2 linked regions of the Arabidopsis thaliana genome follow. The main gene of each other region encodes a partner of the protein of the gene in region 2 in a complex. Each region holds a gene or a part of one and is shown on either strand. Other genes may lie near its edges. A codon is read from its position in the direction of its gene.

Region 1 (7,384 bases), on a different chromosome or scaffold from region 2:
GTGATGATATTGATGCGCTGTAAAAAATGTAAACAAAATGAAAAGGCATACTTCACTAAATCCTGTTGAAAAGAAAACCATGGCCAATGGTTAGAAGAGAGTTGAGATTACCTGTCAGAGTCAATGGAGTTTGTTGAGTTGTACAACAAAGAAGAGAGATTTTGTTGTCTGGAAAGTTTATGACGGTGACTCGCGGATCTGCTTTTTAAAAGCTTACCTTTGGTCACAACAAAGACGGCACAAGTCTCTGGAGTCGTCTTAAGCAGAGTGGTTGGTACATCTGGACTCTGAAACTTTCTGATCACAAAGAAAAATTGAATGTTAGCATTTTGTATAACCAAAGTTGAGATGATACCAAGCATGAAACAGAGAAGAGGAGAGAGACTTAAGGAAGGAATTGCGTGCAGATGCGCCAACAACAAGATTTGCAATGTAATAATTGTTGGTGATGTAGTTGACAATAGCATTGGAGATGTCAATATCATGAAGAATAACCTCTTTTGCTATGATCTGAAAAGTGTGTATATACAAGAATGTCATGATCATATTTGATGCATTATAAGTGTGAAATGTTGTTGCAAGGAGATTGGAAATGATCGATTAATACTAACTCCTTTTCGAGCGCAGAATCCTCTGAAAGGAAGAAAGAATTCATGTGCCTCGTCCGGATTGTCCTGATGAAAATGTCCTCCTGTGTCTCCTACTGCAAAACATACTCCTAATTAGGGTGGCTCTTTGACGTTTTGGTTTCAATGATGAAGAGAAGAGCGAGAGATGCTTACGTTGAACGTGGATAAGGACACATTGTGGAGCATCAGCAACAATATTTTCAACGGCCCATTTCAAGGCGTGTTGGCTGTTCTTGTCCTTATCAATGGCGATCGCCGTGATACTGCCATAGTCCTCCGAGGTCCTTCTAACTCTTCTTGCAGACATGTTAGAATCTTGCTTCCCAAGAAACATGAATAACCTGCTTCACAAGGAAACTATAATACTCATAAATGATCTCATGTCTTCTTTGTCACAAAACACCCACAACCAAGATCGATTGTGTTGTTTTTCTTTTGTCTGGCTTTGCAACCTCAGAGAAGAAACAATGAACAATGAAAAGAAACAGAAAATTGTATTGTGAGATGATGAAGCTTTTAGTGGTTTTACAATTTTTCTAATTTTGGAGGGTTTATTTCTCAAACAACTCAACAGTCTTGTGAAACAAACAAACAAGAATGGAAATTTCCACAAGTCTCAACTTATCTTTAATTAGAGAGTGATTTTTGGGAAGTTGCTGGTGAGATCTAGTTTGTACTATAATGTACGCGTTTCGATTAAAATAAAATTCGATTATACATTATCAAAATATTAAATCGATTATTTTATCTTAATCAGTAAAACAAAGTTTTTAGATAAAAATATTAGTAAAACTAGTCAAACATATGGTTTAGTCTTTTAGGTTTATATAGACTAGAGGTTGAACCAAAAAAGAGAGTAAAATAGACTAGAGAATAGAATGTTATGTTTAAACATGATCACACATCTCAATTTACACACATTTACTTAATTTGAGTTTCGATAATAATGCAACAGCAATATATGTATCTACGAATTTGAAATTTATGAGTACAAAATCTAGAGGTGTAACAAAATATTTATTATTTTCGTCCCTGATCAATCAGAGTAGCCACGTGGGCGGGTGGTAGAAATCGAAATTATTGCGATTATTGACTTGGAAAAAAACAAACACACGTTGCATTTTTTGATTTACGTATCCAAAAAGAACAAAGAAAAAAAGGTAAACGACCAAATAATATAATTTTCTGGGGCTGTCGTCTTCCATCTTTATTTCTTCTTGGCGATATCACCATATCTTATACGTCTCTCGAAAGATTATTACTCTTAAGACGATTCCATTAAACACTGATTGTGAGAACTTGTACTTTAACGTTATCGAAAAGTATACATAAATATTTTTATTTTTTTAGGCTGATTCATTCTTACTGATAACAATAATTTTGTGTTATTCTTTCTTACCTAGAGAGTTCTATAGACAAGTTCGTAACTATAAAACCAATCTTTATTTCTTACTCATAGCTTTCAAAACTAAAACTTGATCAGTTTAAATAAAATATATGGGAAATTTTTGCTGAACCAATATATTACGTGTCAAGATTTCATTGATCCTATTAATACAATTTATTCATTTTACAGTTATATCAAATACAAATTACAACTAAGATACTCACTTATCTACACGTCAGATTGTACAACTAAGATACTCACTTATCTATATCTAATTTTCGTGGTTAATATTACATGTCAAAATTTTATGGAAATAATTAGTGTTTTTCTACTTTATATAAATTTTTATGATATATTTTTTTTTTAAAAAAAGGAAAGAGAAAGAAATCAATTTCCATTTGTAAACATATTTTTGGTTCTGAAAATAAATAAATGGGAAAAAAAGGAATTAAATAACATCTGTTGTTGTTAGCTGATCGACAGGTGTTGCCTGAAGCGACCTTAAAAAAAGAAAAAGGACAAAAAGTTGAAGAAAAAAAGAGGACAAAGTTCACAAAATGATACAAAGACTAATACGTGTCCTTTTATTAATCCTCTTTTGTAATAAATACTCTTTTTTCCTATAAATTATATTACAAAACCAAAGAAAAAAAGGAATAAAAAAAAACAGAGAGAAAAAGCAAACCACACAATATTCTCTTCTCTCTCTCTTTGTTTCGCTGATAGAGAGAGCCTCTCTCTAAGCAATTTAGCTCGAGCGAGAAATAATCCTGAGGGAAGAAAATAAAAAGAAGAAGAAGAAGAAGAACATCTTTACTTTTGTTCTCTCTCTCTCTTCTGTTCGATTTTAATTTTTTTGCAGATGCGAATATCTTCTAAAGATTCATCAACTGGTTAGTTCTTTCTCTCTTCTTTTTTCTTTCCTGATTTTTTTATGTTGTTTTTCTGTGTAGTTAGCTTTTCAATCGGAAGATTTTTGCTATTATGTGTCGAATCTCTCTTGTTGTTTTGAGCTTTGTGTTTAGTTTTGCTTAAGAACAAAGTTTAAATTCATCTTTCTATTTCTGGGTAAAGCTAAAGCTTCTTTTTTAATTTAGATCCAAGGAAACCCATGTTCTACTATATGATTATGGACGTTAATGGTTCGAATTTTTTAGGGCTTTCTTGTGATTGATTTCGCTGATTTTCCCTCCTTTTTCTGGTTTTTGTGTGAATTTTCTTTGACATGACCGTTTGGATAATGATTCGTGAGTTTTTGATTAGTGCTTTGTGATCTCTCAATAGGGTTGAAATCAAGATAAGGATTTGAGAAAAGATCGACGAAGTTGTTGCGATTTTGGGATCAAGAGAGTGATATAATCGAGTGAGGAGAATTCGTCGTATAGATTCGTCAGATCTGGTTATCTCCGGTACTTAATTCTCCTTGATTCGTCGTTTTAACTATGCTAAGTTAGTGTATGAATAAAGCGGCATTTGGGTCGCTGACAAAAACTTATTTGGAGCAAGGATTCTTCAACATCATGAAACCATTGCTTAGAGTATTCGAAGAAGAAGATGAAAACAATTGATTTCTCCTAAGTCCATCTTTGAAATTTAAAGCTTTGTTGTGGTGTGGTGTGGAAATCTCTGATTTTGGAGAGCTCATGGAGGAGATGACTCCCGCAGTTGCAATGACTCTTAGCTTAGCAGCCAACACCATGTGTGAATCATCACCTGTCGAGATCACTCAGCTAAAGAACGTTACTGATGCAGCTGACTTGTTATCTGATTCTGAAAATCAAAGCTTTTGCAACGGAGGGACTGAATGCACTATGGAAGATGTTTCTGAACTGGAAGAGGTAGGTGAACAGGATTTGTTGAAAACTTTATCCGATACGAGAAGCGGGTCTTCCAATGTTTTTGATGAAGACGATGTATTGTCTGTTGTGGAGGATAATAGTGCTGTCATAAGTGAGGGCTTGTTAGTTGTTGATGCAGGCTCTGAATTAAGCTTGTCTAATACAGCTATGGAAATAGATAACGGGCGAGTTCTTGCAACCGCGATTATCGTAGGCGAATCAAGCATTGAGCAGGTTCCCACCGCGGAAGTTCTTATCGCGGGTGTAAATCAGGATACCAATACTTCGGAGGTTGTCATTAGATTGCCAGATGAAAATAGTAATCATCTGGTGAAAGGGAGAAGTGTTTATGAACTAGATTGTATACCGCTTTGGGGCACGGTTTCCATTCAAGGGAATAGATCTGAGATGGAGGATGCTTTTGCCGTGTCACCTCATTTTCTGAAACTACCCATCAAAATGCTTATGGGGGACCATGAGGGTATGAGTCCAAGCCTCACACACCTCACCGGTCATTTTTTCGGTGTTTATGATGGTCATGGAGGCCATAAGGTATGCTATATTCACATTTTATGTAAGTTGTTTTAGCAATGTAGATTGTTATACACCTCTTTGAGATGTTCTGGTTAAATTCATAGATTTTAAATCTACAATGGCTTGTAGGTTGCTGACTATTGCCGAGATAGACTCCATTTTGCTTTGGCTGAAGAAATAGAACGTATAAAAGACGAATTATGCAAGAGGAATACAGGAGAGGGTAGGCAGGTGCAGTGGGATAAAGTCTTCACGAGTTGTTTTCTAACTGTCGATGGTGAGATTGAAGGAAAAATTGGTAGAGCCGTTGTTGGTTCTTCTGATAAGGTTCTTGAGGCTGTTGCGTCTGAGACCGTAGGATCAACTGCTGTTGTTGCCTTGGTTTGCTCATCACATATAGTAGTTTCTAACTGCGGTGATTCGAGGGCGGTTTTATTCCGTGGCAAAGAAGCCATGCCCTTGTCAGTTGATCACAAAGTAAAATGAACTTCCTTTTCTTTCCCCAATCTAACTTACAAAGTTGATAAAAGTGTTTTCTTACCTCCTTCCATTTTTCTGCAGCCAGATAGAGAGGATGAATATGCAAGAATAGAAAATGCTGGAGGCAAAGTTATACAATGGCAAGGCGCACGTGTTTTTGGTGTTCTCGCCATGTCTAGGTCCATCGGTAAGCATTGCTTCTTTTGATGACCAGTAATGCACATCACACAAACGTGGCTTGATAATGTAATTACTCCCCTACATGAAACATTAGATCCTCCGGTTTCTTTCCTCCTCTGGAACTATGCAGGTGACAGATATCTGAAGCCATATGTGATCCCAGAACCGGAAGTGACATTCATGCCTCGGTCAAGAGAAGACGAGTGTCTCATACTAGCCAGTGACGGTCTTTGGGATGTAATGAACAACCAAGAAGTCTGCGAAATAGCAAGGAGACGGATATTGATGTGGCACAAGAAGAACGGTGCACCGCCTCTAGCAGAGAGAGGCAAAGGAATAGATCCAGCTTGCCAAGCCGCAGCTGACTACCTCTCAATGCTTGCTCTACAAAAAGGAAGTAAAGACAACATCTCCATCATTGTGATTGACTTGAAAGCTCAAAGAAAGTTCAAGACCAGAACCTGAAGCTTAATTACAAGCAGTACGCTTACTTACTTTTTTTTTTACTGGGGGTAAGTTTCGAGTTTTCGTATAATTTAGATCGTTAAGGATCTAATTTCGACAGGTTTTTACATGTTAATTACTCAATATTGTTAGAAGGGAGAAAAAATAAAGAAAAAAAATGGAAATGCGGGTTGGGGAGGAGAAGTAAAGACTAAAGACTGAAGATTAAGAAGATGATGCATAGCTAATTATAAGTACATTCCTTTTTTTCTCATGGTACTTGAATTCGTATGTATAAGAAGAAATAGGCAGAGAAATGCTTTTTTTTTTTGGGGTATTGAAATAGTTGAATATGTTGTAATAGTTTGAGAGATGTGGCAAATGAAATTGTAATTGAAACTATGTCACATTAACCTTCTTGCATTTGTCTTTTCATGTTGTGTTCTTCGCTGTTCTATAACTTAACGGTGAGATGAGAGTTTATTGGGGGTTTAACCACAGGTCGATTTTTATTTTGATGTTAAGTATTGATAAAGCAATACACTTAGCAAAAGGTGGACGTGCCGGAGTGGTTATCGGGCATGACTAGAAATCATGTGGGCTTTGCCCGCGCAGGTTCGAATCCTGCCGTTCACGTTTTTCATTTTTTTTTCTGTTATCATCACATTTTCCATAACTTACCTTAATCATCTAACATTTTAGAGTCTTTACGAAATGTTAATATTTCTTTTCTTAAATTGAGTAGAAATAGAAATCAACCTCATACCTACAAATGTGGAAGTGACGTGTGAAACCGTAAGTGTATTTAAATCAAACTTAGAAAGCTGTTAATCATTGGCACCACATAAAATCTAGCTTGTGAGAGAAAGTTTATCGTTTTTAGATAAGTTATCAAGATAACAAGACTTGATTAGATTATAGTATGTTGCCTTTGACGGTTTGGCCTGGCCATTTGTAAAAGCCACGACAACACCGGCTCTCATATAATTATTAAAAGACTAATTAGTAATCACGGCCTCAGCTTCACATAGAAAACGTGTTTATTAACACGTTAGACATATGATTCCGTTGAACAATTTTGATTATTTGACGTACCAATCTGTATTTGCTTCATGTAATCCAGCTGTATTAGTAGGCCTTTCTTTGTATTTCCCATTTCCAACTTTCACAAGCAAATACCACCATTTTCCAGCTTGTCTAACAAGTTATTAAAATAAAAATAAAAAATTCCCCCAAAAAAATCATGTGTCAATTGAACCTTCTCTTAGGCATGACCGTATGACCAAAGTTTGGTTCGGATTTTAAAAGATCAAGATTTGACAATTCTATAAAAAAAAAATTTGGGTGTAAATGTCATTTGTCTAGAGTATGGTTAAGATACTAGAACCTTTTTCTTTACAAGTTCAAAATTCAGAATTAAAAAAATGTAAGATTTTCAGAGTTTGTGGACATCAAATTATCAGGTAATATGGATAGTTTGTGAAAATTGCAATATCTATCTATACAACTAATCATTGTGAAACATACATTTAGGACTAGGGAGTTAGATACTGTTGTGTTGCCGAGACTCAAACTCAAGAACTGGTCAGATGTACCGAGTAAAGTTGTATATAGTCAACTAGTACATATTTGAACATTATACAATTAATTCAGATATCCTCTACGTAAAATGCGCAATGTATTTTCATGTAATAAATAAATATATATGCAAATTGATGAATTTGACATAGATATTCAACTAAATACGTCAATTATCCGATTGCTTGTCTCCTATAAAAAATCTCTAAAATACTCCAAAGACATATTTTTTGTTGTAAAAAATGTGTAAATTAAAGTAAGAATCCACAGAAAGAAAAAAAAACAAATAAAAATGACCAAATCCAAGTCCCCAA
Region 2 (5,274 bases):
TTAGACATTTTATCTTTTGCTAAATTAACAAATACAATAAAGTTTTACATTTAAATATACATTAGATAAGCATTTTGGTTAAATGTATTCTTTTTTGTATTTGTTTAGATGGATACCCTATCAAGAGATAAATCTATTAAAAATGCTTATTTAATTCATATTTATTGGGTGCACAAAAAAAGAAGAAGCATATCAATTGTTTTTTTTTTGTTTTTAACACGAAGAAGCATATCAATTGTTATTAGTAGAATTTTATGTTAATAATAACCAAAATCTTTTTAGGTAAGTGAAAAAATTCCAAAACAAACCTCCAAATCAAAACATTTTCCCAACTAAAACTTCAAACTTTTTTTGTTCACATTTAAAACCTTTATTTAAGTTAAGGGAAAATCCCAACACAAACCTCCAAGTCAATTTCTTAACTTTTAACATATAATTTATATACTTGTCATTTCCATATTATTTTGACTATGTTATTATGTTTTGCTTATATTTTGCTTAGCTTTTGCTCACTATTATTAATATTTTCTTAAACCATTACTATTTATTTTATTCTATTGTTAATATTATTATAAACCATTACTACGTTCTTTGAAACAACTCATACTTAGTATATTTCTGATTTGTTTTCTTCGTCATAGTCTTTCTTGGAACGCTCTTGCTCATCTTCAGCATGCTTTCCATCCTCTTACTCCGGCCAAGAGTTCCGGTATTCTCCATCCCAAAGCTGAGGTATCCAACTTCAGTCTCAGTCTAGATTCTGTGTTTCATAACAGGAACACAAAGATCAAGCTTAGATGCCAATATGGATTTGCTAGAGTCTTCTTCAAGACTCTTTTGCTCTCCGAGCAGCGCATAGAGCCATTCAACATCACCTCTCCAGAGAAAAAGCCTCTGACGCTGCTGATGTTTGATCTTTCTCAACATCTCTGGAACTTTGAGGACGTACAGATCATAACAGAATTCCAGATGAGAGCATCTTGGGTTTACCTTAAACTAAACCGTAAATTTAACTAATATCAATTGTTATTAATCTTTTATATATATATATATATATATATATATTAGTATATGAAAACATGAAATAAATTCTTATATCATATTATTTAATTTTTATACTTTAATCAAATCTAAAAGTTCATTAAAATTCTATTAATTTTATGTTTATACATAAGTTTATACGATTTATATAATTTAATTTAAATAAGTTATTTATGTGAGTTTGATATACTTTGTACCTAATTAAATTGAAATTATTTAATTAATAAGTTCAAACATGTCAAAAAATTTAGAAAGAATTAATGCATGATTATAAATTCTTAAATACATTAAATTAAATAAGAAATGTAATTCATATGTTGATGTGATAAGTGTCACTCTATCTAATGCTGATATGTCGAAAAAATGGAGAGAGTTGAAAAAACTTTCATAAATATGATTTTGCATGTGTCATGATATGTTATTTATATTTTCATGTGGAAATGTTAAAAATAAAAAAGCATTTCATATAAACACTTACAAATTTGAATTTATATTTCTCGTTTGACAGCTATTCGAAATCATTTCGTTACAAACTTCCAATAATATACAAACATTCAGAAAATGGAAATAGAAGAAGAAAAAACATAGACATTGCTATAAAAGGGAAGAGTTATTTCTCTTCTTTGGTCTTTTTCCTTCTTTTCCGAATGAAAAGATTCTCAAGTCACATCTCATATCTTCTTCTCCATAGATTCTGCTTGTAGACGCTCGGTAACATCTGCTAAAGAATTGAGATTGCATTGAATCAAAGCCTCCACGAAGAAGCATGTCTCCTCCTTTGTGTTACCTTCCGGCACATCCACCACGAACGATTCTATAGCCAATGTCCCTGTTTTTCCGTCTATCGTCTCCGAATGTAACGAAATGGTTGAAGAATAATTCTGATTGGACAAATAACAAATTAAGCTCTAAAAAAAACAATAATCTTGTCGGAATGAATGGTACATTTAAGGAAATTTCAATTTACCTTGAGTCTATGATCACCACCAACTATTCTGATGCCGAGAATATGCTCATTGTCGTCAAGAATCTCTAATACCTCAGTGCTTTTAGTAGCTGGTAATCCAGATTTCAAATCCACTTCTCTTACGCTACCAACCTCCAGCTTCTTACCTTGTACCACACACCTACTGATAAATGGTTTGTATTTTTGTGGTTCATCGAATCTCCTCACAATTGACCACACCTTTTCCAAACAAAACAAATCATTTAACATCTCAAAAATCGTTATCTTTAACACTTGAAAAACAGAGCAAAGCAAAGCTTACGAGATGCAGAGGAGCTTTGATGTGCTTAACGAGCGTAGAGCTACATTGAGACTCTACAAGCTCGTGTCTATGGTGTTTCTTGATGTACTCGCTCTCCACCTTCTTTGTTTCGTCACCGTTCATCGTTATCTTAAATAGCAGCAATTTAAATAATTTTGATTAGACAAAAATTATTCGTGCCTTTAGTTTTTTTTTTTTTTCACTCAATAGTAGAACCACTGTACCAGTGTGCAGCTATTTAAAGGATGCTCTTTTATATTGACGAATATAGCCTTCCAAGTTTCTATGAGTGAATTCATTTTTAACTTATATCTGTATTCCCATTATCTTGGATTATGATCCGACATGTCAAGTACAGATGGACGGATTGTAAACATTAATGTGGAGGATTGTAACATTATTTTTTCCTATTTCTTTGAAAAATATCTCTCTATCAAATGCTTTAAGTTTAACACATAACCACAAAATCTTTAGAATGTTTCAGAATTGCTCATATACAGTTTGACACCGAAACATTTTTTCTTATGGGAATTGTTATCCGTTATGCAATTTACCTTGTGTGGCTTTGAACATATCTGAAGTATAGATAAGAGTCAATCCATATTCGCATCAATTGGGCCGTCAAAAACGCTTAAAAGTGTTTTAAGAAAACCATTACGAGATCTTTTATCAGCAGCAAACTACAATTCGTCTGACATGGCACTTGACGAAAGCACGATTCATAAACCGGCGCGAAAGGAAAATCAATTCCCAATTGAATTGACTCATCACCTTCGCGGTATAACCGTAGTAAACCGATGGTTATAGGGTAAAACGGTCACAACAGTTGGAATTATCCCAAGTTTTCTGCTCAAGTCTCGTTGAAATGAACAAAATGAATGAAATTGAATTCTTTTGAGGATAATGGTGACACAAACGAGTTTGTCTATACAGAGAGGCAGAAGAGATCAGACTTGGATCACTTAGCTTTTCTCTCTACCTATAAATCTATTGTTTTTGGAGCAAAAAGAGACAATCTTGCTTTGGCCTTTTCTTCTTGGTGTTGTAGCCTGTGAAGTAAACTTAGAGGATCTATACCTTTCTATTCTAATTCATGAATTTCCTGCAGTTAGGGGCTTTACATAAGCATGGCACCTTGAGTTCCTCTGCCTCGTCTGGATCAAATAAGTAATCATACCTGCCAAAACACCACACAACATTTCTTAAACTATGACAATCAATCAGCTTTAGATTGAAGAATGGTATATATAGAAATGCGTTGTGTACGTTAACTCCTCTCCCACAGCTACATTGGCCTTGGCTATCAGGACAATCCTGCTTTCCTCATCTCCTACACTCATAATCCTCGCATAGCAGTTTGGTGTACACTACACACCACGTATTTTGATTTAGGCTTTAACAGTCTGTCAAATTTCTTGTACGTAAAAAGTCCATGCCAAGCAGCTTACCGAATGATTGATGAGCCGAGCTATATTCCCTTTATCTGTAGCATCAACCACTACTTCTTCACTGATCTTGAAAAGCTGCAACATAAATCCTTCTTTTGGTTAAGAGAGATAGAGAGAGAAGAGACAATTTGTGAAGATAAAATGGAAACTTTTTCAACTCACATAGCAATCCTTTCCTACTCTGCGATAACGTGCTTCTCTCAAGTCTGCAATGCTACCTCTCACCTGTTCCCCTCTGTATTCAAGAACCTGAAATACAATAGCACCTCTCGACAATAAACACTCCCCTCATCCCAAATAGACCAAACACAATATCACAAATGGGTCTGCTGACATACCATTTCTCCTTCTTGGATATTTCTTCTTGCAAAAAGACCCCATCCATGAATTCCAGATCGCCCAAAGCAGACCCGATCCATTTCTGTCCTCTGTTACATTAAACATACACATGTTACAGCCGATAATATCAAAAAATAAAACCTGAACATTCCAATCTCGTTCAAACATCAGAGAATTCTTGCCTGCAAGTGGTGAAGTCGTTCCCTGAAAGAAGAAAACGATTTGGGTTCTTCTGGCACATGCTACACATAATACAACCCAGAAATGTCAGATCCAAAAAATAATAGTAAGAAACGGAGTAGAAGAACTGCATGGAGACTTTCTTACTCTGAATGTGTTTAAAGTTTGGATTGCTGCTGATGCATGATGGCGTGGTCCCCTTGTGTGGTGAGGAATGGCTTCTTCTTCAATCCTCTACAAAACAAAGATCAGCCTACTGGACAAAGGAGATGTGCAACGAAACATACAGACTTTTTGTGGATAAGACCCAATATTACCTTCTTGCTATTGATCTTTCTTTTAAATACTCGACAACGAGCAGCAGAAAATGGATCACATGTAATGGTATTCTCTGCAGGTGCTTCATCGTCTTCTCTGATTAATGAAATAAGCCTGGAACCACCTTTCTTCTTGTTTTGGACAAGACTCTTTGCAGAGAAGGCTCCTGAAGGAGTTTGTATAATTAACACGTTATCTGGGTTGGGAGCCCTACACACCAAAAACAATAGATAAAACTTATAAATCATAAACCAACATCGTAACACCAAAAATTCTTTAAGCAGAGTTCTGAGAAATTTCACCTGTGATAAGCACAATAGGACACCATCTTTGTTATCTGCTGACCATTTTTCTCCAAGCAGTGCAACTACATACAAAATGCATGGAAATATGCCTATTTAAATGGAGTAAGATAATAAATTGCAAAGGAAAAAAAAAACTCAAGTTCCTTTAAGTAAAGATTAAAAACACATTATCTATCGGAAACCAGTTTCACTTTATACGACTATATAAAAAAGATCGTTCCAGTTAGTTCAAAAGCATGTATAGAAAAAGTCAGTGTCGTCTGATCTCATGAAGAAAGATCAGAAACAGTCAAACAGTAAGCATACCTCCATTCTATAACCAGCTCGGGAGGCACACATGGCATGATAGTATGTAGAACACTTGCAACACTGAGT

Evidence for each region. The genes of interacting proteins can lie anywhere in the genome.
Region 1: the proteins of PYL10 (region 2) and HAB1 are in contact, whole or in part, in a crystal structure (PDB 3RT0), measured with the Arabidopsis thaliana proteins. Residues at the interface, in NP_194521.2 of Arabidopsis thaliana: Pro57 (codon at 2,182), Phe58 (codon at 2,179), Ser60 (codon at 2,173), Arg61 (codon at 2,170), Asp78 (codon at 2,119), Leu79 (codon at 2,116), Lys80 (codon at 2,113), Ser81 (codon at 2,110), Gly82 (codon at 2,107), Leu83 (codon at 2,104), Pro84 (codon at 2,101), Ala85 (codon at 2,098), Thr86 (codon at 2,095), Arg112 (codon at 2,017), Leu113 (codon at 2,014), Pro144 (codon at 1,835), Asn147 (codon at 1,826), Glu151 (codon at 1,814), Thr152 (codon at 1,811), Phe154 (codon at 1,805), Phe155 (codon at 1,802), Ala158 (codon at 1,793), Leu159 (codon at 1,790), Asn165 (codon at 1,772); in NP_001185385.1 of Arabidopsis thaliana: Arg199, Ser200, Glu201, Glu203, Gly244, His245, Gly246, Gly247, Glu323, Thr324, Lys381, Ile383, Gln384, Trp385, Gln386, Arg389, Phe391, Gly392, Val393, Leu394, Tyr404.

Annotation. Positions count from the first base shown.
Region 1 is NC_003070.9:27,387,339-27,394,722, forward strand, and holds HAB1 (HYPERSENSITIVE TO ABA1), read left to right. Parts: upstream 1-2,609; 5' UTR 2,610-2,909; intron 2,910-3,300; 5' UTR 3,301-3,659; coding exon 3,660-4,406; intron 4,407-4,517; coding exon 4,518-4,865; intron 4,866-4,949; coding exon 4,950-5,055; coding exon of another isoform or gene 5,056-5,075; exon of another isoform or gene 5,076-5,178; coding exon 5,179-5,513; 3' UTR 5,514-5,989; downstream 5,990-7,384. Other genes in the region: AT1G72760 (Protein kinase superfamily protein), read right to left, coding at 1-17, 112-297, 386-510, 612-703, 783-963. UniProt on the Arabidopsis thaliana protein: Key component and repressor of the abscisic acid (ABA) signaling pathway that regulates numerous ABA responses, such as stomatal closure, seed germination and inhibition of vegetative growth. Confers enhanced sensitivity to drought.
Region 2 is NC_003075.7:13,898,378-13,903,651, reverse strand, and holds PYL10 (PYR1-like 10), read right to left. Parts: upstream 2,511-5,274; 5' UTR 2,433-2,510; coding exon 2,310-2,432; intron 2,228-2,309; coding exon 2,009-2,227; intron 1,923-2,008; coding exon 1,713-1,922; 3' UTR 1,652-1,712; downstream 1-1,651. Other genes in the region: SDG16 (SET domain protein 16), read right to left, coding at 3,396-3,486, 3,576-3,676, 3,758-3,832, 3,920-4,006, 4,096-4,185, 4,279-4,338, 4,424-4,510, 4,594-4,804 and 2 more. UniProt on the Arabidopsis thaliana protein: Receptor for abscisic acid (ABA) required for ABA-mediated responses such as stomatal closure and germination inhibition.